3 linked regions of the Oryzias latipes genome follow. The protein of the gene in region 3 purifies or fractionates together with the protein of the main gene of each other region. This does not show direct contact. Links are inferred from orthologs where the notes say so. Each region holds a gene or a part of one and is shown on either strand. Other genes may lie near its edges.

What was found. The genes of interacting proteins can lie anywhere in the genome.
Region 1: the proteins of protein tyrosine phosphatase domain-containing protein 1-like (region 3) and serine/threonine-protein phosphatase 2A 55 kDa regulatory subunit B alpha isoform purify together in Homo sapiens (affinity purification with mass spectrometry; 4 studies listed by BioGRID and IntAct, counting the BioPlex papers as one, with this or other methods). This does not show direct contact. The link is inferred for Oryzias latipes from reciprocal best matches to the Homo sapiens genes PTPDC1 and PPP2R2A.
Region 2: the proteins of protein tyrosine phosphatase domain-containing protein 1-like (region 3) and ppp2r2d purify together in Homo sapiens (affinity purification with mass spectrometry; 5 studies listed by BioGRID and IntAct, counting the BioPlex papers as one, with this or other methods). This does not show direct contact. The link is inferred for Oryzias latipes from reciprocal best matches to the Homo sapiens genes PTPDC1 and PPP2R2D.

What each region holds. Positions count from the first base shown.
Region 1 is NC_019870.2:24,073,967-24,077,911, forward strand, and holds the start of serine/threonine-protein phosphatase 2A 55 kDa regulatory subunit B alpha isoform, read right to left. Parts: upstream 2,801-3,945; 5' UTR 2,496-2,800; coding exon 2,489-2,495; intron 304-2,488; coding exon 235-303; intron 1-234. UniProt on the Homo sapiens protein: Substrate-recognition subunit of protein phosphatase 2A (PP2A) that plays a key role in cell cycle by controlling mitosis entry and exit. Involved in chromosome clustering during late mitosis by mediating dephosphorylation of MKI67.
Region 2 is NC_019873.2:19,563,822-19,567,763, reverse strand, and holds the start of ppp2r2d (serine/threonine-protein phosphatase 2A 55 kDa regulatory subunit B delta isoform), read right to left. Parts: upstream 2,801-3,942; 5' UTR 2,624-2,800; coding exon 2,617-2,623; intron 2,430-2,616; coding exon 2,355-2,429; intron 973-2,354; coding exon 875-972; intron 781-874; coding exon 615-780; intron 543-614; coding exon 430-542; intron 350-429; coding exon 172-349; intron 54-171; coding exon 1-53. UniProt on the Homo sapiens protein: Substrate-recognition subunit of protein phosphatase 2A (PP2A) that plays a key role in cell cycle by controlling mitosis entry and exit. Involved in chromosome clustering during late mitosis by mediating dephosphorylation of MKI67.
Region 3 is NC_019865.2:17,422,964-17,427,204, reverse strand, and holds the start of protein tyrosine phosphatase domain-containing protein 1-like, read right to left. Parts: upstream 2,801-4,241; 5' UTR 1,877-2,800; exon of another isoform or gene 1,651-1,876; 5' UTR 1,621-1,650; coding exon 1,575-1,620; intron 868-1,574; coding exon 702-867; intron 602-701; coding exon 521-601; intron 437-520; coding exon 318-436; intron 241-317; coding exon 103-240; intron 1-102. UniProt on the Homo sapiens protein: May play roles in cilia formation and/or maintenance.

The DNA.
Region 1 (3,945 bases), on a different chromosome or scaffold from region 3:
GTTCTAATCGTGTTCCTTTTTTATTATTTTGATGTTGAAAACAACTTTATGACAATGTGAATGAATTTGCCATTAATTCTTGATCAAATCGGATCATTTAAATTGAACAAATATACACTATGACTCGTATCGCAACTACAAATGATATGAATCAAATAATTGTTGAAAATAAATTGTTATACCTGTATTTTTAATTTTTCTAAACAAAACTGTATTTCAAATGGTTCTTCGTACCTTCAGCGACATCATCATCGATGGCTCCTTTCACCTGAGAGAAGCACCACTGCATGTCACCTCCAGGTGCTGTGAGAAGAGAAAAATGAGTGGATTATCTTCAGTGACTCTTCTTGCCGTCTGCTTCAAACACCAGAATGACTTAACTGAAGAAGATTTTATTGACTTAATATTGCTCTAAACCTAGTGAAAAATGCTTTTTAAGAATGACACACTTCGTTGTCATCTGCCAAGGAGCAAGACAGAATTGAAAGTGGCCAACATGCCAAAGTGCAAGAAAATCATATTAAAAACCAAAAAAGTACAAATCCATACATAAAGGGTGACTGGGTGTTGACAGTATCATTAAGGAGCCTGATGGAGCATGGGTAAAAACTTTTTCAAGTCTGTTGGTCCTGGCTCTGAAGGACCTGCATCTCTTCCCTGGTGGCAGCAGTTAGAACTTGTGCTCAATAATATTCATGAATTACTTCAGAAAAGATCAGTGTTGGGACCTGTCTGAGATCCAGGGTCTAACAATGATTCCACTGACCATTACCGCAATATTTTAATGATCATACGTGCACACATGCACCACCACTTAGGTAGAAAACTGTGCAGCATCTTTTTTAAGAAAGTGATCATTCACACAGAATTTTCAAAATACACGCAGCCAGAGCTGACTTTTTCTTTGGTTGCACGGACCCGGATGAAGGGTTAGGATTAGGTTAATACACGCGACCAACCACAACATTTAGACTTGGCCGTACTTAAAATTTGTGCCGGTAATGCAGGAATGTGCATCTGTCCGCTAAACATGCAGCCAACATGAATTTCCATCAGTTTTTTGTGTTTGGTCCCACATAAATATGTGCAAATAACATAAGCTATATCTTAAAACATTAAGATACACCACTATTACTCGAGACAGTCTACACCTGCAAAACCAGTTCTGTTCCAGTGAGTCAACTCACAGCTATAAAACTACATGATCTTTTAATTACAATAAAAGTGGGTGCAGTCAGTAACTGCTAGACTGTTCTCTTCATCTTAGGTCTTGTAGCTGGTTAACAGCGGTCATGCTGAGGCCTGGTTTAAGAGGAACTCAACATACATGAACAATTCTGGCACTGCAATCATTGTGGCCACTTACAAAACTGAAACCGAATGTTTCCAACAGTCACCTTAAAGCAGGTTGACGTAGCAGCACATACTTTAACAGAGTACATTTTGTAGGATAAACAAGCCCAAAGGAAGCAGGTACAATCATTTCTGTGCATACACACCAGAAAGAGTCAAAACACTCACTGGAGGAACAAAATATCTCAAATGTTTTATTGGGGAGTCTTGTGCAATGCATTTGTCTAAAAATGTGAGTCACTCAAAAAATGGACGACGTGCAAGCATTCCACACTTTCCATGATTGACGTTTCTGCTATGCCTTTAAAACCAAATTTAAAATCAAAGTCTGCTATAGGGGTGGGGGGTGAGGCCCCCCCACCCACTGGAATCACAATACTTCGCTACTAAAGTAAAGCTAACAAATGAATGAAAAACATCGCAGAGAAAGTCTGAGCATTCTCTACAGATGAAATGGTCGTTATCCCGCGCCTCTTGTAGCCTTTGAAGCAGAAACTGCGTGAACATTTCCCTCAGAGCTCAGTGGGCCCGCCTGCTAGCCTGCATGTGAGCAATGTCAAAGTTTGCGCTAAAGCTAGCAATGACGGCTTGCCAAGCTAGCCGATGCATGTTTGAGAACTGTGGCGCTACTTTGAGCTTGCCCTAACGTTTGGGTTAATAACTCGCAGCCTTGTGTGTTGTTATTCCATTAAGAGGTTTGCACAGAAGTATACCAAAAGAAAACCTCCGTGTACGAGCGAAATACTCGGCCATTAGCTACAAAAACTTAACACTATTTCATGCCGGTGCCACAAAATTATTAACAGATTTGGCTAAACTGCCATGCATATCATTATCAGGTTAGTAATGCAACCTATTTGTGTAGATAACAGCAAAACAGCTGTAACGGTAACTGGTAAGCTAGCTTTAACCGGCAAATGTTTCTGTTGTTGCGCGAGGACAGTCGAGTTCTGTGAATAGCTTAGGTTAGCACTAGCCAAGTTCGGCTAACTAGCTATCGTTAGCTAAAACAGAAATGAACTGGTGGGTGAATAAAACCTGACTCCCGGAACGCAGAGACGACCAAGAAACGACGTTTTAACAATGAAAAAAAACATTTTTTTTCAGAACGTTTAACACAGTCCAGACGAATTACCTGCCATGGCGAGACAGACAGTGGAGCTTGCCTCAGTCAGTTGGTCACGATCCTGCTTCCCACTCCCACGCGCTGATTCGTGGGATCTTAACTTTTTTTTCCTCCCTCCCCCCCCTCCTCCACTCAGCCTCTGTTCACCGAGCAAAGCAGAACAATGTGTGTGTTTAAGTCAAACTGCGCGGTTCGGAGTTCCCGCTCGTCTCTTTGCTGCTCCTGGAAACATTCACTCCCCCGCGGTGGTGCTGGTGTCTCGCGCTCTCTTGCCGCCGGCTGCTCCGCATCCCAGAAGTCAATTCTTCAAACTCCCCTCGAGTCTCTTCCGCACGTGAACCAAACCCTCTTTATAATGTGCACGCGCATGACGGATGTTTTGTCAAAGATTAGAAAGGCCTAAAAGCAGGGCTCTGCAACCTTTAATACTTAAACAGAACCAAAAAATATGACTTCATCGTTTAGAAAAAATAGGACACCGATATGTATTTATGTTATTGTTATGATAAACATAATTTTTTTTTGCATACAAAAAGATTAACATACAGAGAAAATATATATTTTTCAAAATATGAAATAGTTTATAACTTTTGACAGAGGTTGACATGACATCCTTTCAAAATAAAAGACACCCTGAGGCCTCATAATCCGGTGCACCTTAATTTTGGTTTTGCTCACTGACCTCCAGTTGATTTTCTGTGGTACATGGCGCACAAAAATCTGGCATAACGTTTTCGTTCAACCTGTTAATGCGTACTGTTCTTCAACTGTTTGTGTATGAGGTCATTTAAGTCAGTTTGCTTTTTTTCTTTTTACTTTACAGTTACTTATTTAAATTAAAAACGTTTTATTTTTCTGTAACCAGAGAGCCAAATTCGTTTTGGAGCTTCAGTCAGCAGACATCTGGATTAAACCAATGGTCACACTGACCTGTTTGATACTTTTACTGCTCCGTTATACTTTAGCATGTTCATGCTTAACATTAGAAAAACTAAGTTTACTGCAAAAACGTCTTTGATTGCATTTAATTAACCTGCAAGATATTTAACAGCTAAGTTTAAAAGTTTAAGATAAATTAGCAGAAAAAAGTAAGTTTTTAAAAATTAGAACTGGTCTGATGGTATAAAATATAATATGCTAGCTGAGCAAATTAAATACTTTAAATAAAATATATAATAGAAAAATTTAAAACCTAAAAAAGGTTTAGCCTTGACCACACAGCTACATTTTTCTGGTCTCAAAAGTCAGATTTTTGTTGTTGGTAATGTTGGCTTTGTTGCCCCTCCAGATGGTTCTACTAAAAATGTGAAGGTGGTTCACAAAATCTGCAAAATCGAATTTGTTTTTAAGGTGAAGTCGTTACCCCCAGAAACCCCCCACAATTATTAATTATTTTTCAAATATAAATATACCCATCACAAACCTTTTTACCCATTTTCTTTGTGAAATTGCAAAGTAGGATGAAT
Region 2 (3,942 bases), on a different chromosome or scaffold from region 3:
TGTGATTACTTCTGTCAGCTCTTCCATGTTGGCAGGCTTGATGTCTACAATATCTGAGAACAAGCCGTTAAGGAACTGATGGTCTCAGGATTGTGGAACAGAATCACACACAAAAAAAACAAAAAACCATCAAATGAAAACTTTCTAGAGATATTTAAAAGAAAAGGATACTAAAACTTCTGTCTGTGATTTCCAAGTGCCATAGATTTATTCTTAGGTCATCTGCGGAGAGGTAAGTTTCGTGATCGCTATTTACAGAAATGGAATTAATGTGATAGGTGTGCGCGTTTGCAAAGATCCTCCGTGGGCTTGCTTCTACCATGAGATCCATTGGCATCAGCACAGGTACCTGAGACACAAAACCTGACAAGTTAACAACAAAGTACTTCCAAAATGAATGAAACGATGAAATGGTGGGATTTTACGTACCCGTAAAGAGGTGATTCTAAAAGGATCTCGGACTCGCCCATCTTCATCTTTCAGGTTGTAACCCTCCGCCCGTTTATCTCTTTCACTAATTTTCCACAATTTGATAGTTTTATCTGAGAGAGAAAAAAAACAGGTCAGAAAGCCTCAAAATACACAGAAATTATGGAGAAAAAAAACCCTCCTACCATTTGTTGAAAGTAGAAAGTGAGCAGCATTTTGTTGGGGTAGCCATCTTATTTTATTAATTTTTTCCTCAATTTCTAAACTTTTCAAATAGTCAAATTCTGGCTCGTGACTCTGAAAAGTGCTATAGACGTTGTACTCCCCACGCAAGTGTGGACGATTCTTAGACTGAAAGAGGAAGAAAGAGTGGGGAAAATGAAATGACGACGTAGACTTGTGCGAACAATGATCGTAAGCGTGGTGTTTTGTGAAGAAACCCTACCTCCTGTTCATGCTGAAAAATCACTACTCTCCCGCCTTTGTCTCCAGTTGCAAGTAATTCTCCAGAATAGTTGAACTCAACGGTTGAGATGATGTCCGCTGAAAAACAGACACGAGTTACAGCAAATCTGACTAAAATATCTGTTTTTTTAGCTGTTATCTTTTAGTTTTTAGTAGAAAATAATGTAGAAAATATGAGTCAAACTGGACTAACTACAACTGGTAAAATGCATTAATACCAATCTATTTACAATAAAGTTTTAGCACCAAATAATACGTAATTCCTACATTTGTGAGTATACTCATGCAAATACAAATCATGTGATGTAAGCATTTTTTGCTAAAACGTTTAATGCAGAAAACATAAGTAATTAGAAATAGCTTAGATCTGTTATGGTTTAGTTTCATCTCACAAAACAACTGTAGATATTAGCTTAAATCATTTAGGTTTGAGCTCAGTTTGAAAAGCGTCCAACTGCTGCTTTGCTTTGACAAAAATAAAAGCCTTTAAGAACAAAATGTAACTCTGCATTTGTGAGACTGGAAATACAACTTGACGCTTCACATCAGTGGAATGAAAATTATGTAACATCTTCAACAGAAGAACGTTGATATTTGCTTGTATTTATGCACAACAAAACACAAAAACAGATGGAAATTCATTATGAATTGCTTGGACGCACTTTAACCCTAACTGTGACCCTAAAATATGTGCGAATTGACAGTTTCCCCACCTGAAAGCAAAAAGACTTTCTTTGCTTTTAAAAAACGCTTAAAAGTAACATTTAAAACGTGCAAAAATAATTTAATTAGCATTAATCGTAGGCATAAAAAAAAGGTACATGGGCGTGTGACTGAAATGCTATATTTCTGTAAATATACATCTAATTTTTAGTGAAGAGGAGCATAATTTTGACCCTAACACCTGGATAGTTTTTTATTTATTTAGTGAACATGAAAGAACATAGCTTAACATTTTGTAAATTTAAATAAATACATAAAATACTTTAGTAATTTCAGCCGGAAGGGACAGATGAATAACAATAAATAAAAGGTAAAATAAAATATCTTGTATATTTTTAGTTTTGAACAACATTTTCCAAACTTTATATATTTAAATAAAACGTCGACAACACAACCTCGATACGCACACGTTCGACAAACAAACCATGTTGCCTCCACAATTTATAGACGCAGTACATTGACGTCATGGGCACGGTCGCTCCCCTTTAATAGTTTAGCAAGCACCTAGCATTCAGCTTGTTAGCAACACACGGCGATTAAAAGGGCGTTTTCCCAGGTGGCTCGCAAACAGACATTTATCGACACCAGCTGCCCCGCTCGTACAACATGTGCGTCCATCCCTCAAAAAGTCACACACGGCGCATCACACGTGAAGACCCACACAGCCCCATCATCCTGCTAGCTTGACCACCGTTATGGGGGTTAGCATAACCGCCTAGCTAGCGTAAGCTACTTACCTTCCGCAACATCTTCATCTATCGCTCCTTTTACTTGAGAGAAACACCACTGGAAATCATTTCCTCCTGCAACTCCTGCGAAAGAACACAGCGGTAGTTAGCAGCTGTAAAACGCCGCGTTTGGCGGTGAAGATGGCCCGACAGTGACACAGTTTGACAACTTAGCGCTGCCGCTGCGCTGGTGGTGAGCTAACTCTCAGATTCAGGCCATCACACCAACCAAGAGAGCCGGATTCTTCTGCTCCCTTCAAAAGTAGCTTACCCGCCATTGCTTCATTTAGCAGCTCTTGTTGTACGAAACTTCCAAGACCTGATCGACCAATGCGGCTTGCTCAGAGAAAACAGATAACATCCACAATCAGTGTGCAGACTCGGCTCCAGATCTGTCAAGACCACGGAAATTATCCGTGATTTTTTTTTCTTCCAAAATGGCGCACGGTACATGGAGAAATGACGTCATGCACACATGCCACATCCTGGCTGCATCCATCCTCTCCCGTGCATCACCTCACAACATCTGCATTTAGCCTTTTTTTTCCCTTTCAGTGCTGCGCTTTATTACACGGATACACACACTAATGTGCGCAAATAATATCTTTAAGTTCAGATCCACGTTTTTTTTTCCAGGTTTATGAATAAAATTTAGATCATTTATATCACTTTCAATCAGTTTTTACTTATTGTAACAGTTTAAGTTTTAATAAATGGAAAACAAATCTGCATTTACAGAAAGTCTTTCTCAATTGGTCATAGGCAAGATTAACCTGACTATATATAAATAAGTTTGGTAACATAAAAGTTTAAGGAAAAATAAAATAAAATATTGACAAAAATACATTAAAAAACTTTTGATCTTTCAAAGAAACTATCGTGTCATTTTTTTACAAGATGTTTTATTTTGCATGACAACTTTGAGGACTACCGCGTTGATTGGACGATCCATCAGTGACATCTAGTGGCAAAAAAGGTGAAAAGCCAATTGACATTACCTGTAAGGACCACAAATGCTGCATTTTGTGGAACTGAACCAATGCAAGTGCCCTGTCTGTCTCAGTTTGATATGGATTTCTTTCTCTCATAATTCAAAGTGATGTGAAGTTTCCATAGTTTAAGCATAAACAAGCCATTTGCTTAAAAGGGCTACTGGAGGCTTTAACAGCTTGCCACTCAGATGTCTTCTTAAAATTAAATGCATAGCCTTTCTTATTGCATGTTTTGCACTTTGTATGAAATACTGAATTATAATAGACGTATATAGTTATGAGTAAATGGAACAAAATAAAAAAAACAACTGAACATATGAATTAAAGATATGTATTTGTTAAAATTGAAATTTTATAGAAAGGGAAAGAACAAAAAAAGGTAAATGGCGTAAATTTATGTAGTGCTCTCTTTATTACCTTCTTAGAAGGCCCAAAGTGTTTGACAGTCACAGTCCCTTTCACCCATTCACACACACTCACACACTGATGGCGGCTTCGCTGCTGAAATCTGGTGCCATCCTAATACCTCCTCGAACAATGTGAGGTTCTGTGCCTTGCTCAAGAGCACTTTGATACAATGGGAACCCGATTTCTTTTAATAAGAG
Region 3 (4,241 bases):
CATGAAAAAAGCCACAAGAACATATCATAAACACCCAAAACCCGATTGTTTTTATTGGAGAGGGTCTCTAAGCCTTTTGTACACATTTCCTCAAAAATCTACCTGTTCTGCCGAGGCCAGCGTGACAGTGGACCGCTACTTTTCCCTCCTGCAGTGCAAAAGCCATCACCTTCACCATGTCCAACATTGTGGTGAGGTTGGCCACTCCGTAGTCACACCAGCCGTAATTATAGAAAAAAACTTAGAGCATAACATGGTTTAGTTTTTCCTTTCAGACTTACTGTCGAATTATTCTAAAGACATACCAAAGTACATACTGTTGTTTTCCATAAAGACCTCTGGACGATATGAAAACCCGCTATCTGGCTCCAGAGGCTTTCCACAGCTCGCATGCTCTCCTACCATCTGTAGGTTGATGACCGATTTGATGCCATTCCTTCAAACAGCAAAGATGTTTTTATCATTTTTTACCTCAGAAACCTTTAGAAAGGTACTGACCGAGAAACAAAGGAGTGCATACCTTTTAAACTGATTGATTACGTCAAACTTTTCAATAATTTCCGTTGAAGGTCTGGACATGGCAAGAAGATGCTCTGTGATCCTGTAACCACAGTAACAGAATTATAATGTTAAATTCAAGCCCTTGACAAGTCAGTGAGGTAAAATGATTTGGAAAATTAAACTAAAGAAATGATGGTTACCAGGAGGAGTAGAGGCCCTTTATGGCCTGTTGGTCTTCTCTCCAGTAAGCAGGGTTATCATATTTGCAGTCTTCACCTCCACACCCGATTGAGCACTGCATGTGTCCAGGGATGACATATCGTATAGCTTCTCCTACTATTGTGTATTTTGCTCTGGGAGCTTTTACTGTTGTATTTTTTTGGAAACAGGAAAAGAAAAGTAATCCATAAATAGCTCAATTGTATAGGGCTTTACTACCTTCTTAGAAAGCCCAAAGTGCTTTACAGTCACTGTCCCATTCACACACATTCACATACACATTCACACACTGAAGCCGCTCCACTGCCGAACATTGACAACAACCCATAGCCACCAGAAGCAATGCTGAGTTCAGTGTCTTGCCCAAAGGGGCGGGAACCAAACCTGTGATTTTCCGATCAGAGGTCTACCGCTCTACCTCTGCACCATGGTAAGCATAGTCTACTCTCAGTGAAACTTTCTTCTATAAATAAAGCTAAAAAAAAAAGGTATGAACAAAGATTCAAAGTGATGTTTTTCAATGAATTAATTCTTTAAAATTAACTCTATTTTTTTAATTGTAGGTTTCGGAACCGTATTTAGATACTTTGAAAGAACATTTCACACACCCAACCAAGTCCCTATGAAGTAGGTTAAACTGTTTCGGTTAAATGATTAAGATAATCAGTTGTGTGATCTGACTTGGACGTGTTTAATCCTTGGTTGGCACTAATGATCTGTCATGAGGGCATTACAGTAAAAATAGCCCCTCATCCTCTGTATTTAAAAAGTATTTTCATGTAGCTGCATTGTGCTTTAGTCAGTAAAATTATGTAGTTTCTGTTTTTTCCTTTTTTTTTTTTTTTTTTACTTACTGTATTCCATCAGAGCTCCACCTCCTATCTTTACATGAAATGCCATGTGGACTCAGACTGAGCGTCATATCAAAGACTGAAAACACAAAGGTTAAAAATTATTATGCACACTTATGTGTACTATGGTTTAAATAAGCAAGGAAATAGTGTTTTAGAGAATTGAAATGTTATTCTTGGCTGATAAGAATACAAAAAAAAGTTCCAAAAATACCCCACAAAACAGTAAAGTACAAAGTACTTATCTTGTAAAGAAATACAAACTAACAAAAAATAAAAAATGAAACGGAGAAAAGCGGGTTTACCTCTGGTACCATAAATGTGATGCTGACGACTGCTGTCTGGTGAAGAGTCCCTTCAAAACTACTGTTACCAGTATTTCTCAAACCAAATTGTCATTCCTTCTTTTGCTCTGTGGAAAATCAATCCTGTGGCCTTCCTGCTGCCCCCTGTGTCAGGTTATCTTCATAGAGCGAGGTAAGGGAGCCTGAAGTCTCCTTCCTTAAAGGCCATCTGTGAATTATCAAATGTGGGGTCAGTGTCTTCAGAGGGAGCAAAAAAGATTGTGTGAGCAGTTCTAGCACTCCACAGCTCCGCAGGTTATTCCTGACTCCTCCCAGATTAGACCACTAATCTTATTAAGAACAAGTATAAAACAGAATGCTTGCTCCTCAACAAAAACGTCTGGCAGCTGTCTTCTCATCAATTACATATTACACATTTATTTGCGTGTGTCCAGCCTGTTTTGCAAGAACTTTTTCTTCACCTCACATGATGGATGAAGGAAAAATATGTCCTGATTGAATTAGATGTTGACACAGCATTAAAAAACAACAATAAATAAATGTCCTATGACACTTTTCATGCAAGTGTTTTTGATGTCAGGACGTTTAGTCCATCTTGTTTTCCAAACCTCTGTGACATAGCAGGTCTATGAAATCCTATTGGCTTACATTCTGCTTCAGGAAAGCTGGTTAGCTTCAGGTCAACCAGCAGAGATCAGTTCATGACGTTGGTGAGACCTTCAAGTCATCTTATCTGAACCAAAGCAACAATTCTGGTATCTGAATTTTGGTTCAGTCTAACACAAAAAAGATTCTACCCATTCAAATCGTTCTTGTAAACATTAATTTCCTGTTTGTTTGCCGTTAACATTATGTTAATGGCATTAACATTAATATCTATATGCTTTTACAAGAATGGCATTAATGCTGATATGGATAGTTTTGTTAAATACAAATTGCTAGGTAAATAACTAGAGAAGAGAACTAGAGAAGACTAAATAGTATTCAGTTAATTTAAAATTTGAAATGCTTCATAATTTTAATTTAAGTGACTTAAATATTGAAAATAACAGTTGGGTTTTTTACAGAATTAAAAAGCATTATATACATACATCCACTTTTGAGTTTGTAAGAACTTTTATTTATTTATTTATTTATTTATATTTTCAAAAAAGGTAAATGTATTATTAACTATTAATGTATTATTTCATTTCAGGGGCTGCACTGTGGGGCAGTGCTTAGCGCTCTTGCCTCACAGCAAGAAGGTTCAAGTCCCATCTGGGGGACCAGCAACACAACACCAATGGGGGGCCTTTCTGTGTGGAGTTTGCATGTTCTATCCATGCATGGTCTCCAGCTTCCTCCCATTTCATAGGTCAATTGGAAACCATTAATTGTCGAAACACTTAATTGTCCCTAGGTGTGAGAGTGAATGTGTGTGTGATTGTGACCCTGCAACAGACAGTCCAGGGAACCCTGCCTTCGCCCAAGTGGCTGGGATAGGCTCCAGCAGCCCTGTGACCCCAAATGGGACAAAACGGTAGAAAATTAAAAACTGAACTTTGTTCCATCTTGAGCATCATCATGAGGAAACAAAAACAACTTTCAACCAACATAAAACCAACATTATGTTTTGATTGCAGGAGAAATCAATTCAACTGACAAGTCTTCATTTTACAACAACATTTGACAAAAAAATGTCTGAGAGATTTGGTCAGAGCAGAAAAGAGTTGGTAGCACTATTCAAATGTTTACATGTCCTTTGTCGTCAGAGTCTCCAGGAGTTCTGATTATCTTGTTTAGTTGCTATCATAACTATCTGATTCCCAGGTCGTCACTGAGTTAGATCTTGATTCTTTTCTATCAGGTTTAGGAATTTGTACTTTCGCAACTCGGTCTTGCTGACGTAGGCTTCATTTTGCTGATGACATACAACAAAAAGAGGGTAAACAATTGAGTTTTTGGAATCTACCCTATAAATTTTAGTGTAATATCCATAAAACAGTTTCCATGCAATATACATCAAATTTCAATGATATGTCTCACGTTTAACTGTACATGTTACATTAAACATTATTTTAAAAATATGAAAAAAGGGTTCTATAAAAAGTTACAGAAATTAAGTTTTTTTAAAATAAAAAATACGTCATCATGTTGCAACTGTAAGTCACTGATGTCTCAATTTTCCACATTTTTTCATTGCACTTTAAAAGTTAAACTGTTGTTTTACCTAAATTAGACAGTTGTTTTTCTTTTAAATGGACGTATATATTCAAACATGTTTTTAACAAGTAAAAATAATTAAATTGCAAAAAAGTCAAACTAAAAATATATACAAATAAAAAAAGCAAATCTTCTGTCATCCATCAGGTTCACTTTAAAAAAA